Kluyveromyces lactis: one gene and its partners. The protein of the gene in region 2 purifies or fractionates together with the protein of the main gene of each other region. This does not show direct contact. Links are inferred from orthologs where the notes say so. Each region holds a gene or a part of one and is shown on either strand. Other genes may lie near its edges.

Evidence for each region. Proteins that work in one complex are often made in the same cells at the same time.
Region 1: the proteins of IPP1 (region 2) and ROM2 purify together in Saccharomyces cerevisiae (affinity purification with mass spectrometry; 4 studies listed by BioGRID). This does not show direct contact. The link is inferred for Kluyveromyces lactis from reciprocal best matches to the Saccharomyces cerevisiae genes IPP1 and ROM2.
Region 3: the proteins of IPP1 (region 2) and ACK1 purify together in Saccharomyces cerevisiae (affinity purification with mass spectrometry; 3 studies listed by BioGRID). This does not show direct contact. The link is inferred for Kluyveromyces lactis from reciprocal best matches to the Saccharomyces cerevisiae genes IPP1 and ACK1.

What each region holds. Positions count from the first base shown.
Region 1 is NC_006038.1:683,185-688,170, forward strand, and holds the start of ROM2 (Rho family guanine nucleotide exchange factor ROM2), read right to left. Parts: upstream 3,460-4,986; coding exon 1-3,459. Other genes in the region: ARC18 (Arc18p), read left to right, coding at 4,517-4,986. UniProt on the Saccharomyces cerevisiae protein: Stimulates the exchange of RHO1 GDP-bound form into GTP-bound form.
Region 2 is NC_006041.1:1,568,150-1,571,780, reverse strand, and holds IPP1 (inorganic diphosphatase IPP1), read left to right. Parts: upstream 1-1,547; coding exon 1,548-2,531; downstream 2,532-3,631. Other genes in the region: KLLA0_E17733g (glutaredoxin), read left to right, coding at 1-57; APC11 (anaphase promoting complex subunit 11), read left to right, coding at 275-763; phosphoribosylanthranilate isomerase TRP1, read right to left, coding at 2,611-3,243; HHT1 (histone H3), read right to left, coding at 3,557-3,631.
Region 3 is NC_006039.1:1,307,791-1,311,969, forward strand, and holds ACK1 (Ack1p), read left to right. Parts: upstream 1-1,505; coding exon 1,506-3,020; downstream 3,021-4,179. Other genes in the region: COX20 (Cox20p), read right to left, coding at 263-820; HEM1 (5-aminolevulinate synthase), read left to right, coding at 3,760-4,179.

The DNA.
Region 1 (4,986 bases), on a different chromosome or scaffold from region 2:
TACAACATTGTACTCTTTTTTACGCCAGCCCTGGTTGTTGACGAAGAAGGCGAATTCTGTATAACATAAGAAAAACATGTTTCCAACGCGGTATATGACTTGAGGATGTAGTGAATCCTTTAATGCAAAATCTAAAGAGGTGTCCGCAGGGTCTAATAAAGGTTCGTGTGCGTTTTGTGATACTGATACAATTTGGAAACCCTTTTTACAACCGATACATAAATTCGCTTTTAAGAATGATATGGATACTGGCTCGCTATCAAACTCGACCTCGGTGAATTTCTTCTTGGTGTGTTTCTTTTCATGCAATAATGGATGTTCGTGCTCAAAGTATTTGATGGAATTGTGAGAAGTGTGTGCAGTTACGATTAACTTTTTACCGTTACAGTCTCCATCACTGAAGAAAGAGACGTGGGTTACTAGTTCCTTGGCATGTTTCTTGAAATAAGTGTTCCCCGCTTGAGGATCTGTTATTTTTAAAATATCAAATGAACAGCTGTATAATTTTTTGTCAGCTAAGATCAAGATCGATTGGAATTCTTCTAACACAGAGAGTTGTGAGATGTTACTCTTTGTCAGAAGCTTTGTAGGAGCCCCGAATATTATAGAGTTTTCTGCTCTTCTAATGTTACTGTAAAATAGGCCTTGCGAGGTGGCGATTATTAACTTCCGTCCGCCATCACAAGATGCAACGCTGTTAATCTTATTGGAGTAATCAAAATACCTATCACTAATTTTGCAAACGTTAAAGATATCGTTTTCTTTGATAATCCTAGCTTGTTCCTGCTTTATCTTCTCAAGAAGCGTTTGCATTGCTGCGAACTGTGCTGCGTATAACGTTACTTGGTATTTGTTTTTAGCACCATAATACGTGAAAGAGATAGCATTTCTGGGATTCGTGCCAGCGATTGCATCAGGATAAATAACCATACCTTGACTATCCGGTTTACCGCAAATATGTCTCTTTAAACTTGGCATTTCTTCACCAGGAGCGGCAAATAACAACGGGAGAGGTATAGGCCGCTGGAAAACTTTATGTTGATTCCATTTATTGACTGCTTTTGACTTCAAAAATAATAACATATTGTCCAGTAGATAAAATTGAAGGTCACCTGTAACACCATTTTCATTCTTGGTAATTTCTTTTCTTGATAGAAGGCCTTCATGCTTGATCTTCCGTTTATCATCATTCAATCCCATGTTGACATACTCATTCTTGAAAAGAATCTTTTGCTTCAACAATTTAACATCATGTCTGTCCTGAGCAGCACCACTAGCCTTATCAATACGTTTCATAAATGCACGAAGGGCTTCTAGGGCCCTTGTTAAATTCTCCAAGTCCCTCTTTTCAGTTTCAGGGTCGGTAGACTTCATTATTTCTCTAACAAGTAGGACATAACGACCTGGCCTAGAAACACCTTGAGACAAAAAGGAATCAATCCCATGTCTTAACTTAGAGTTCATCAGGTCATCATCAAACCGAGCGAAATATGGGTTAACGGACCTCTGAGTTTCGATCAAATATTTAGCATACGGCCTGGATGCCACATACATAACAAAAGGTTCAAAAAATGGAACGAAACGTAGTAAAATATCACCAATTCCATCGACTATCGGAGATGCTTTTTGTCTTTCTGACAAAGCGTCTAGGAGCCGTCTGTTTACGGAATATATGTCATTAACATGGGCGAAAACATGTTTGATAAAATTTTTGCGTATATCGGCAGGAATGATGTTAGTTTCAGCTAGTTTCTTCATAAATGTATCTCTAAGAATCTCAAGGGATTTGACAAATTTCTTTTCTGTGCTGTAGACTTCGTAAATAGCTTCCTGTCTTTTAATCTCACGTTTGGTAAGTGAACTCCAGAGTTCTTCTGGAACAGAACTTGTCCATGATGATTTTTCTTCATCGTCATCATCAATTGCCATAGAAATATTTCTTTTTAATCCACCATTTGGCTTTAAATTCAAACGAGCTTGTTGTTCGAGTCGCTTTGGACATGAAATAGAATAACATAACCTGTTTCTAGTACAAGTTGGAGAGTAACATTCTGCTAACAATGTGAATACACCGTTCACTTGATGATAAGAGTCTAGATCCTCCGGTTTCTCCATCAGAGACAGACTAGATTCGGATTTGGAAGGTGCGATGGTAGTGCTGGATTGGGAAGCAGAGAAATTGTTAGTAGAACCGATCTCATATATGCCTTTACCGATAACTCTGGAATTGCCTGTAAATTCGTAAACTTCGTTAGGGGAATCACGAAGCCTGTGTTCATAAATCACATCGTGGAAGAGTTTTTGAGCATCAAGTGCTCTCCCCAATAACAAAGCTAAATTACGATCATTTGTCCTTATTATTGAGCAGATGACATCAATGGCTTGTTGACCAGTAAATGCGTCTCTGTAAACTAGTCCATCTTTTTTGTGTTCGCACAATGTGATTGACTTTCTGAAAGCTGTCGCAACTCTCGATAGCATTGCGGGATACACCTGGGGTCTCCTAATAGAACTTGATACCACTATATGCTTTGTGTGTAATGAGCTGGTGGATGTTCTACGTATATGCCTCGACATAGCTGATTCGGTGGACAACGATGCAGAAGATGCTCTTTGTTTGATGCCCAGACCTAGCGTTGAATCAAGCAATGGGTTCGTTGAGTGATCGTACTTTTGCGGAATGGTTCGACCACCAACGGTTTTAGTTTTCCCATGCAAAGAAGAAGTAAAGTTTTTGAAAGTAGAAGAACTTATAGACTGAGTCCTTCCGAAAATGTGATCAGATGATGAGTTATTATTGTAATTATTCGACGAAAGGTTTGCATCCGCTTGCAAATATTTCGAGCTAGATCTTGAAAATAGTCCAAATCCTTGCAGCGGAGATTTTTTGGCACTGAATGATCCCCGTGAATTAAGATTACTAATGTTGTTGCTATAGTTGTTGCTGCTGTTGTTGTTAATTTGTCCTGTAGTTGAAAGTTTTGGTAAAGACGGCTTTGAATTGAAATTTTCACTCTTTGACCTTCTCGGTGATTCATGAATCATGTCCATGGCGGGCGGCGCTGGTCTACCATGATGATGATGCGACATAGGTCGCTGCTTAGGTAAAGAAAGATCCTCTGGTGGATACGCCTGTGGAGAAGTCGACTCTGGAGGAGTCACAATATCATCCTCCGTGTCCATACTTGGAACGTCACTTATTTGACGAACATGGACAGGACTTCTGAAAACACTCCTTTCAGTCCCAGTTTTGTTTTCTGAGATCTGACCTCTATTTTGCAGTAAATCGTTCTCTACATCTTCATTGAGCACAGCCTTTAAACTCATCATATCTAAAGAATCTGGCAGTTCTCTCGGTACATTACTTGGGGGAGGCGACAAAGGCCGCTCAATACCAAAAATCTGGGTGAACAATTGCCTCCTGGAGTCTTGTTCCATATCATTGGAGGAAAAACTCATTGTCTCGCTTTAGAAAGAACAAAAAGACACTTAATGCAAAAATCCTGTTCTAAGCTTCTCTTAGGTCAACCAAAAGCAAAAAGAAAGACACTAATCCCAGAAATGAAAGGAATAATGGAATACTCAAGTTTGAAAGGATATTGGAACTGGAATAACAGACAACCTCAACCAAAATAAAAATACAATAATAAAGGAAAACTGAAACCAAAACGAAAACCGAACAGAGTTTGTAATTGCGCCTTATGAAATTATTCCCGTTCACACACACCAAACGTACTCTCTCAGATTACTGTACACCACCCTAAGTTTCCAATCTGCCGTTCCGGTATCGAAATAACACTTTCTTAGCCCAAATCTCTGTGTCAACAAAACCTTCAATCAAGCCTTGCTCCTTATTATTTATCAGGTTTCCGTTATTTTCTTTCAAATGATCAAATCAAATCAAATTCTCAACTTACGAAACATCGGTGCATGAAGTTGAGATTTGGGACATCATCATAGTGCGGAAAACAAGCAAAAAATATGGAAAAAAAAATAGCAGTGAAAATAGAAATTTACGTCCGGTAATTTGTGTATAACCTTGCTGTTCCAGATCCTGTCACTAGCCTCAATCAGATGGTTATCGTGACTATTGGCACAGTGGCTTCTGTATGCGTATTTTTATTTTTTATTGTATTATGTAATTTTTTGAAGTCAGGGGAAGCTGAATCTGTATTACATGAGTCACGTGATTGCTACTTTTGGGATGGTATCAAAAGACTAGTTGATTAGGCCTCGATAATTCCGGACCCTCCTCTATCTTCCCTTTGCTATACCTACTTGATGCTTTAGATCATCACTAATACATCACCAAGTGATCGAATCAACTGTTGTAACTTCTGTTAGTGAAACCCCTTTTCTCTGCCTAAAACTGAAAAGCTACTTCAATATGAAAACTAAACTATGAAATAACATATGTGGTAAAATATATGATTAGGTAGCTAAAGTACGTCTGAATTAAAATCGCAGGAGTATCAAATCGGGTGATAATCTCGTCAGACCTTAATACAAACACATAATGCCAGCTTTCCATTCTACTTTTCTAGCGGACCCAGCTACTGATCGTTTCGTGGGTAACTTTGCACTACTTCCATTGAATACGAAATATAGAGGACCAGCTTACCAGTCCAATTCAGACTACGATATTATCGATGAATGTCTAGATCTTTTCCGTGCCAATTCCTTCTTTAAGAACTTTGAGATCAAATCCCCAGCTGATAGAATATTAATCTACGGCATTCTATTCATAAACGACTGTTTGGCAAATTTGAATTTATCGACTAGTTATAACGAAGCTGTTAAGAAATTAATGAATCTAGGTTTAGATAGCTTTGCTATCCCAGGCACTCCAGGTTTCCCATTGAACACTGTCTACTCCATTCCATTGGACAACCCAGCAGATGTGGAGCTTTTAAAAAGTTATATCCAACAATTCCGTCAAGAACTGGCTATGAGATTGCTAGAAAGAGTGTATAAAGATAACAGAGA
Region 2 (3,631 bases):
TTGAAGACATGGGCCGGATCTACTTTATCCGTGAAGAAAGCTGCTGCTGCGACTTAAAACTTGGCCTATAACATATATAAACATTCGTATACTATACTACAGTGGATCTGATCCCTTTATTAAATTTGTAATAGAACCTGTGACACTTTTATGCATATGGGTATAATATATTATAAGAAAGGATTAGATAGGAAGAATTGAAAACACAAAGACAGAACGAAGGGAACTGTGACGAGGATAAAGCCTGCGATAAGGATACTTCACCCGTGTTACTATGCGTATAGAGGTAACAGATGTCAGTCTAGTGAGCACTTGGGCGTGGGATATTCCCAAGGATTTATCGAAAGGGAAACATGGTGTTGCAGATCAAACGGTACATATGGAAAAATGGGAAGATATACAGAATGAAGATGAGGATGCAGAGAACGATGAAGAAGAATATGAAGTGTGTGGGATCTGTCGTAACCGGTACGATGCTACTTGCCCCTCCTGTGATTACCCTGGTAGCGGATGTCCAATTGTGTTAGGATTATGCAATCATAATTTCCATGTTCATTGTATCAAGCAATGGCTAAGTACTGAAACATCAAAAGGGTTGTGTCCCTTGTGTAGACAAGGATTCCAGTTGAGGCCTAACGTTCTGATAAATAAGATGCACCATGATGAGTTCCAGAAACTGTTGATGAGTGTGAGACAGCACAACATTCCGATGGGTGGTGGTGAAATAGATCAAGATGTGATGGATGATGGCTTCATACGATGAAGGGAAGACTCGATATGCTGAAGATATGTGTGTGTACATCTATTTAATTGGTAATAGGATAGAGTAGTGGTTCAAATCATCAGTGATGGGCTAAGTATACTAGGTAGCGAGGCCATATTACAGGTGGTGTCTCTTGCTCACATGAGACAAAAAAGAAAATGCTTCCAACCAGAGTCGAACTGATGATCTCCACATTACTAGTGTGGCGCCTTACCAACTTGGCCATAGAAGCTGTTAATTTCTTGTTTGATGGGGTAAGAAAAACAACTACACCTGATACTTTTACAATCAGATGATCAAGCTCATGTGAGAATACACAACCACTGGTTCAATAAAAAAGGGCGATAAGCTAACCAGTATACTATTGTAAAATGGTATCGTGTTGCAGTCAATGTTTGTTCGTCAGTACACACGTCGATTGTACGTTGACCTACCGTTTCAGCAAGCCACGACCATGCGGTACCTATCGTGTGGCTTTTCCCCAAAAGCACTCTTATCACGTGATTTTCCCCTAATGTGAAACTCTGTTACTACAAAGAGAGAAGCATGATTAAACCCAATGACTTTAAAAAAAATACACTATGCAACTGCAACTGTATACAATCGGACCAAATATATACAGACCCTAATGTATACCCTAGCACACCTACACACGAACACAGAATCAGCCACTTCCTAAACTATCGCTTCTTCAAGCACCAATCTGCTTCTTTTCCATCCTGTCGTTCTCTCAAAGTGGACGACCTGAGGAAAAAAAAGTTGCAAAATTCATATATAAATAGGAATGAAAAATGCCTGCACTGGTTTACCATTGGCCACTGACGCCATATATATGATCTTAGGTTCTTCAATTGATATACAGCCTTATATACCCCCCGCCAAACGTATATATACACCGGACACGATGAGTTACACTACTAGACAAGTTGGTGCCAAGAATTCCTTGGATTACAAGGTTTACATTGAAAAGGATGGTAAGCCAATTTCTGCTTTCCACGACATCCCATTGTATGCTGATGAAGCCAATGGTATCTTCAACATGGTTGTTGAAATTCCACGTTGGACCAATGCCAAGTTGGAAATTACCAAGGAAGAGCCATTGAACCCAATTATTCAAGACACCAAGAAGGGTAAGTTAAGATTTGTTAGAAACTGTTTCCCACATCACGGTTACATTCACAACTACGGTGCCTTCCCACAAACATGGGAAGATCCAAACGAATCTCACCCAGAGACTAAGGCTGTTGGTGACAACGATCCATTGGATGTCTTGGAAATCGGTGAGCAAGTTGCTTACACTGGTCAAGTGAAACAAGTCAAGGTTCTTGGTGTTATGGCATTGTTGGACGAAGGTGAAACTGACTGGAAGGTCATTGCCATCGATATTAACGATCCATTGGCTCCTAAGTTGAACGACATCGAAGATGTTGAAAAGCATTTACCAGGTTTGTTGAGAGCCACCAATGAATGGTTCAGAATCTACAAGATCCCAGATGGTAAGCCAGAAAACCAATTTGCCTTCTCCGGTGAAGCCAAGAACAAGAAGTACACCTTGGACGTCATCAGAGAATGTAACGAAGCCTGGAAGAAGTTGATTTCTGGTAAGTCTGCTGATGCCAAGAAGATCGACTTGACTAACACCACTTTGTCTGACACTGCTACTTACTCAGCCGAAGCTGCCTCTGCTGTTCCAGCTGCTAACGTCTTGCCAGATGAACCAATCGACAAGTCCATTGACAAATGGTTCTTCATCTCCGGTTCTGCTTAAAAAGTGGAACGATCATTCACTATATATATATCAATTTATATATACGTATGTGTAATTGAAGAAAGATACGTTTTTTCCTCTATTGAGAGGCCTGCTGGATGAATAGCTTTACCTTTTCTAAATCCTTGATACCATCAGTCTCTACTCCTCCACTTACATCGACACCGATCGCATTTGGTAACATATTAATGGCAACAGAAACGTTATCAGGATTCAATCCACCAGCGATAATGAATTTTATCTCGGGATGACTTGCAGACCAACTGGAAATTGCACTCCAATTCAATTTCTCACCAGTGCCACCTTCACCAGAATCGAACAACGTCAGCACATTGTCTACGTGTTCATACAGGTCCAGTAGTAATTCACAATCCTGTGGGAACTGGAACCTCTTAATGATTGGAATTGAAGATGGGATCAAAGATCTGTATTCTTTAATATCTTCATCTCCATGTAATTGTATCACATCTAGATTATATTCGTGGTACAGTTGAAGGACATCATCAACGGACTGATTTCTAAACACCCCGACTAGTTTAGTACCTTTCACGTTCTCTTGTTGGTGAACTGCAGTTGAAATACCTTTCGCAACAGATGAGTCAATGGTTCTTTTCCTACCGGGAACACAAATGATACCTAAGTAATCAGCACCATCATCCACAGCAGTCTTTGCAGCTTCAACGGTTTGCAAACCACACACTTTAACGAGCATCACAGTAGATTTCGCAAGAGGGTAGCTCGCTCAGAGTACCCAAGTAAATGATTAGTAAACTGATGTTTGATAGTTCAATTTTTCAATGAAATAACCTTATATTAAAATTGATATTACTATTATACAAAAATAAAGAATAAAGGATTTGAGTTTATACATAAAATACCATTATTATTTGTTCAGTGAGAGATACCGGGGTATATGGGATGTGTGTAGTGATACCATGCAATCATGTATCAAACATGGAAGAAGTGAAGGGGGAGAAAGAAACTTGAAAAAAAGAAAACCATTTGAAAAGAGGAAAAGTATCTAATTAAGATCTTTCACCTCTTAGTCTTCTGGCCAACTTGATGTCCTTCTTTTGGATAGTGACTCTCTTAGCGTGGAT
Region 3 (4,179 bases), on a different chromosome or scaffold from region 2:
TTTGTCAATACGAAGACAATCTGCGGTCAGAACGAGTCAGCTCTTTAGCGGTAAATTGGAATGTCTGCAGGGGTATGTGCAGTGGTGTATGCAGTGGTATTATAAACGGTATATGTCATTAAATGATGTCCTGTACTATTGTGCCAGGAATCAAGAATTATTCATTCTCACTCTACATGCCTAAAATATTGCCTACGACGTCTTATGTTGGGTAAAAAAGATACGAGGTCACGTGGTGGTAAGTCAATATCATGTCTTGCACCTACCAAAATTTGTACCAAGGTTTACTGTTTCTAGAGCCCTCTTCCCATTCCTTCTTGACTGTATCTATATTCTTAACCTGTTTCAGCATTGGTTTCTCCTTTGCTGCAACAGTCTGTTTGGCCATTGCTGCCACTTGGAAGCTTCGTCTACGACGCATGCGACATTGCTCCCATCCTACAATGGATCCAAGTATGAAACCTCCTACACCCCAATTTGCCGCACGAGCAGGATTCTTATGGTACAAGAACATCACTGATCCGACAACAAACATCGATGTAAACCCTCCGATCCCTGCGTCTCTGAAACATGGAATTGACAGTACCTTTTCGACACTGAAATCTTTCACGTCTATCGTATTCCATGCCTCTTTCAAAGACGCACGTTCCTGCTCTCGAGCAGCCATACTACTGGACTCATTATTGAATTTGGGTTTTGTATCCTCAAATAGAAACTTCTGTCCTTTAGCATAATTCGTTAATTGCTGTTCCTCTGATATACTCCTTTCCACCTCGGTACTTGCTTCTTGCGTTTTACTCTTAGAAAATGGCCACACCATGTTTGCGCTCTGAATATTAAAATATCAATTCAACGGGAGTTTATATTACTTGACAGCTACCTAGGTTAGCTTAATGAAGATCTCAATTGCTGCTTACTTGTCAACGCTTTTAGCATCATCTCATCTTATAATCTTAGTTTGTCAATCAGTTTTCCTACAGACACAACTTTTTCCAAACCGAAAAATAATTGAAAAATATGGAATATTTGGGAAGCGTCAGTATTTAATCATAAAATCAGAAGGTACTTGGAAATTCTTGACCTAAGTGACTTTTTAAACAGTGAAACTATAGCAAGTCTCTGGAAATGCATTCCTAGTTTGTCTTGAACATATTAAACTGACACAATATGTACATTTATTTATCCGTTCTATATTTAAAAGTCGCTTTCTGCGATTCATATGTACTGTCGCAGTAGAAATGAAAAAAAGGCGACAGAATCCGATACTCTGAAAATCAGTAAAATAATGGTAAATTGAATTAATCTGAAACGATGAGTTGCAACAAAAATACAGTGGCCGTTAAGCATTTCAACTAGGCTTCTGGAAACACTGCCCTCTGGTATCAGCTTGAGTCTGTGGGTAAGTGAGTTGCTCTGCAAGTAGTATTGGATTCGAAAGCGTTTGCACGGAAGAAATTCGTAGAAAGGATAGGACATTGGTAAATCGTTCTCTTGAGAGAAATAGAATGGATAACAACCGACAAAGAAACGCGTATGGCAACTACATAAACATGTACCCGCCAGGTCACGAGCCAAGTAAGAATACACCATATCCGGTTGATGATCTGCCCCAGAATCATGTTGCAGATACGAATATTCCATACCAAATGTATGAGAAAGATACAAGACAAAGCTCCCAGTCAACGGTAACGACGCCAGTATCACGACAACCACCACCGGCGCAGCAAGTCAGCATACCCAAAGTGGATAACCCGCCTAGCAGTGCTAAGAGTGAACGGGATCTTTCAAATTACTCTTCCGAGGCTGTCGCGTTTTATGAAGCATATGACAGAACCGTCAAGGACGCAAACAAGTTTACGAAGGATATCCAGTTGAAATGGTGCGAGACACTGTTGCAATATGCGTTCAAGCCCACTTTCTTAATCAGATACAATATCAATGCTGAAAAGTTGAAACGGGATTTAACTGAGACCGAAATGCTACAGAATAAAAGGACCATTTTAGAGCATGCGTTACGCGTGTTAACGAAACTAACTCAGTTAAACTATTCACCAGCGATCTACCTATTAGGGACACTTTATTCCCACCACCCTTACGTAGATATTCCAAGGCCCATGGATATCGTGTCTAAGAATGATGCAAAAGCTCTAGACTACTATCGCAGAGCAGCCGATATGGGTCATAAGGATGCCATGTATCGGACCAGTGTCAGCTACGAGTACGGACGTGGAGTAGATTACACAACTGTGAGTGAATACGAAGCTTTAAAGATTTCACAGAAGTACTATGAAATGGCAGCTTTGACCAATGGACATTCTGTATCCATGTACAAGCTCGGGATGTTCTATTTGAAAGGACTGAGAACGAAATCTGGTGAAATCGTTATCAAAAGAGACCCTGTACAAGCTTTATACTGGTTTAGAATGGCTACCAAGGAGATCGAAATCCCACGAGACGATAAGGCTCATGTAGAACTGGAATCAGTATCGCCACAAGCGATGGTTGAGTTGGGTAAGATTTACGGATTTGAAGAGTTAGACGAATCCGTTAGACAAGAGCTTCTGAGAAACGGAATCACTCAAGATAAGGAAAAATCGATCAAATACTATTATAGATGCGCCCATGACTTCGATTATTCTCAAGCCCAATACAAATTGGGTCATTTTTATGAATTTGGGGAGATGGGACTACCTGTAATACCCAAGAAGTCCATTGCATGGTACGCAAAGAGTTCCATGAACAAGACCAAACCAAACCCGTTAGCCATGGTAGCACTTAGTGGCTGGTACCTTACCGGTGCTGAGGGGATATTGAAACCGAACGACGTAGAGGCCTTCAAGTGGGTGTCACGTGCTTCGAAATTATCTGACGGGAAATTACCAAGAGCAGAGTATGCATTAGCATTTTACTTGGAGAAAGGCCTTGGATGTCAGCCAAACATACAAGAGGCCAAGGTACACCACGAAACTGCTGCTCGTCTTGGCCATCCGAAAGCCATCGAGGCCTTGAGGAAAATGTGACCTTGCGGTTTTATTTTTACTGTCCTGCGTAGCTAGCTTCATTGTAATGATATGTAATAATAAGATTTGGTTAGAGTAGTTAGTTATTGGTATTCTCTAGAAGTTAAATTTCTGGCGGTGGTTGGTGTCGCGAAGCGACACCAACATAGCTTAAACTCGGACTTGCTCCCGCTAAGCGAACCATGCTCATCCAGGCCAATCCCCAGCTTCAACTGCCAGGTCCAGGGCCAGGGCCAGCATTACTGCCACAGCTCTTCGCTTCGCTCACATCATCCTCTACTCTTATTGGCTGAAAACCTCCAAAAAGAAAAGCTCCTAAGTCCAGCATTTCTTTTTTTCCCTTTTCCCTTCCCTGTCTTCCTACAATATCTTCTGCGGAACTGGCAATGTCGGAATCATTTCAAAGGTAAAATCCTCTCATATTGCCTGAAAATGAAAATGACTGAGGAAAAAATGACTGAAAACTCAAAAAAAGATATAATATGATATGTTTTCATAATTATATAATAAGAGATGAGCTTCAGGTTTAACTTAAGATACACCTTTGGTTTTGGTTCAGTGCTTCTCTAATCTAGAGTAAAATATTCTTTGATACACCAGGTTTCACTTTCGTCACTGAAGAGAAAAATTTAAAAAGATTCTACCTGTTAGAAGTGGCTATATCTTTGCGAGTGAGAAAGCTTCTTTTATTGGTTTCCCTTGCACACACTTAACCGTCTTCATTTTGGATTGAAAAAACATGGAATCTGTTATTCGTTCTTCTGCCAAGATCTGTCCATTTATGCACTCTGCCACTGGATCAATGCAGAGTGTCAAGGCTTTGAAGAATGCGAACTTACCAGCTATCGCTCAACAATGTCCATTTATGGGTAAGGCTATGGAACAACGTAGGGGTTATGCTTCTAGTGCTTCTGGAGCCTCTGCTGCCGCTGCCGCTACTGCTACTGCAAGCACAAGCGCTTCTAATTCTAATTCATCCGTTGAAGCTTCTGCTTCTGCAGATGTAGTCGATCATGCCACTAAGGAAGCGTCTTTTGATTACCAAGGTTTGTTCGATTCTGATTTGGCTAAGAAGAGAATGGATAAGTCTTACAGGTTCTTCAACAATATCAACCGTTTGGCTAAGGAGTTCCCAATGGCTCATAGAAAGCTAGAAGAT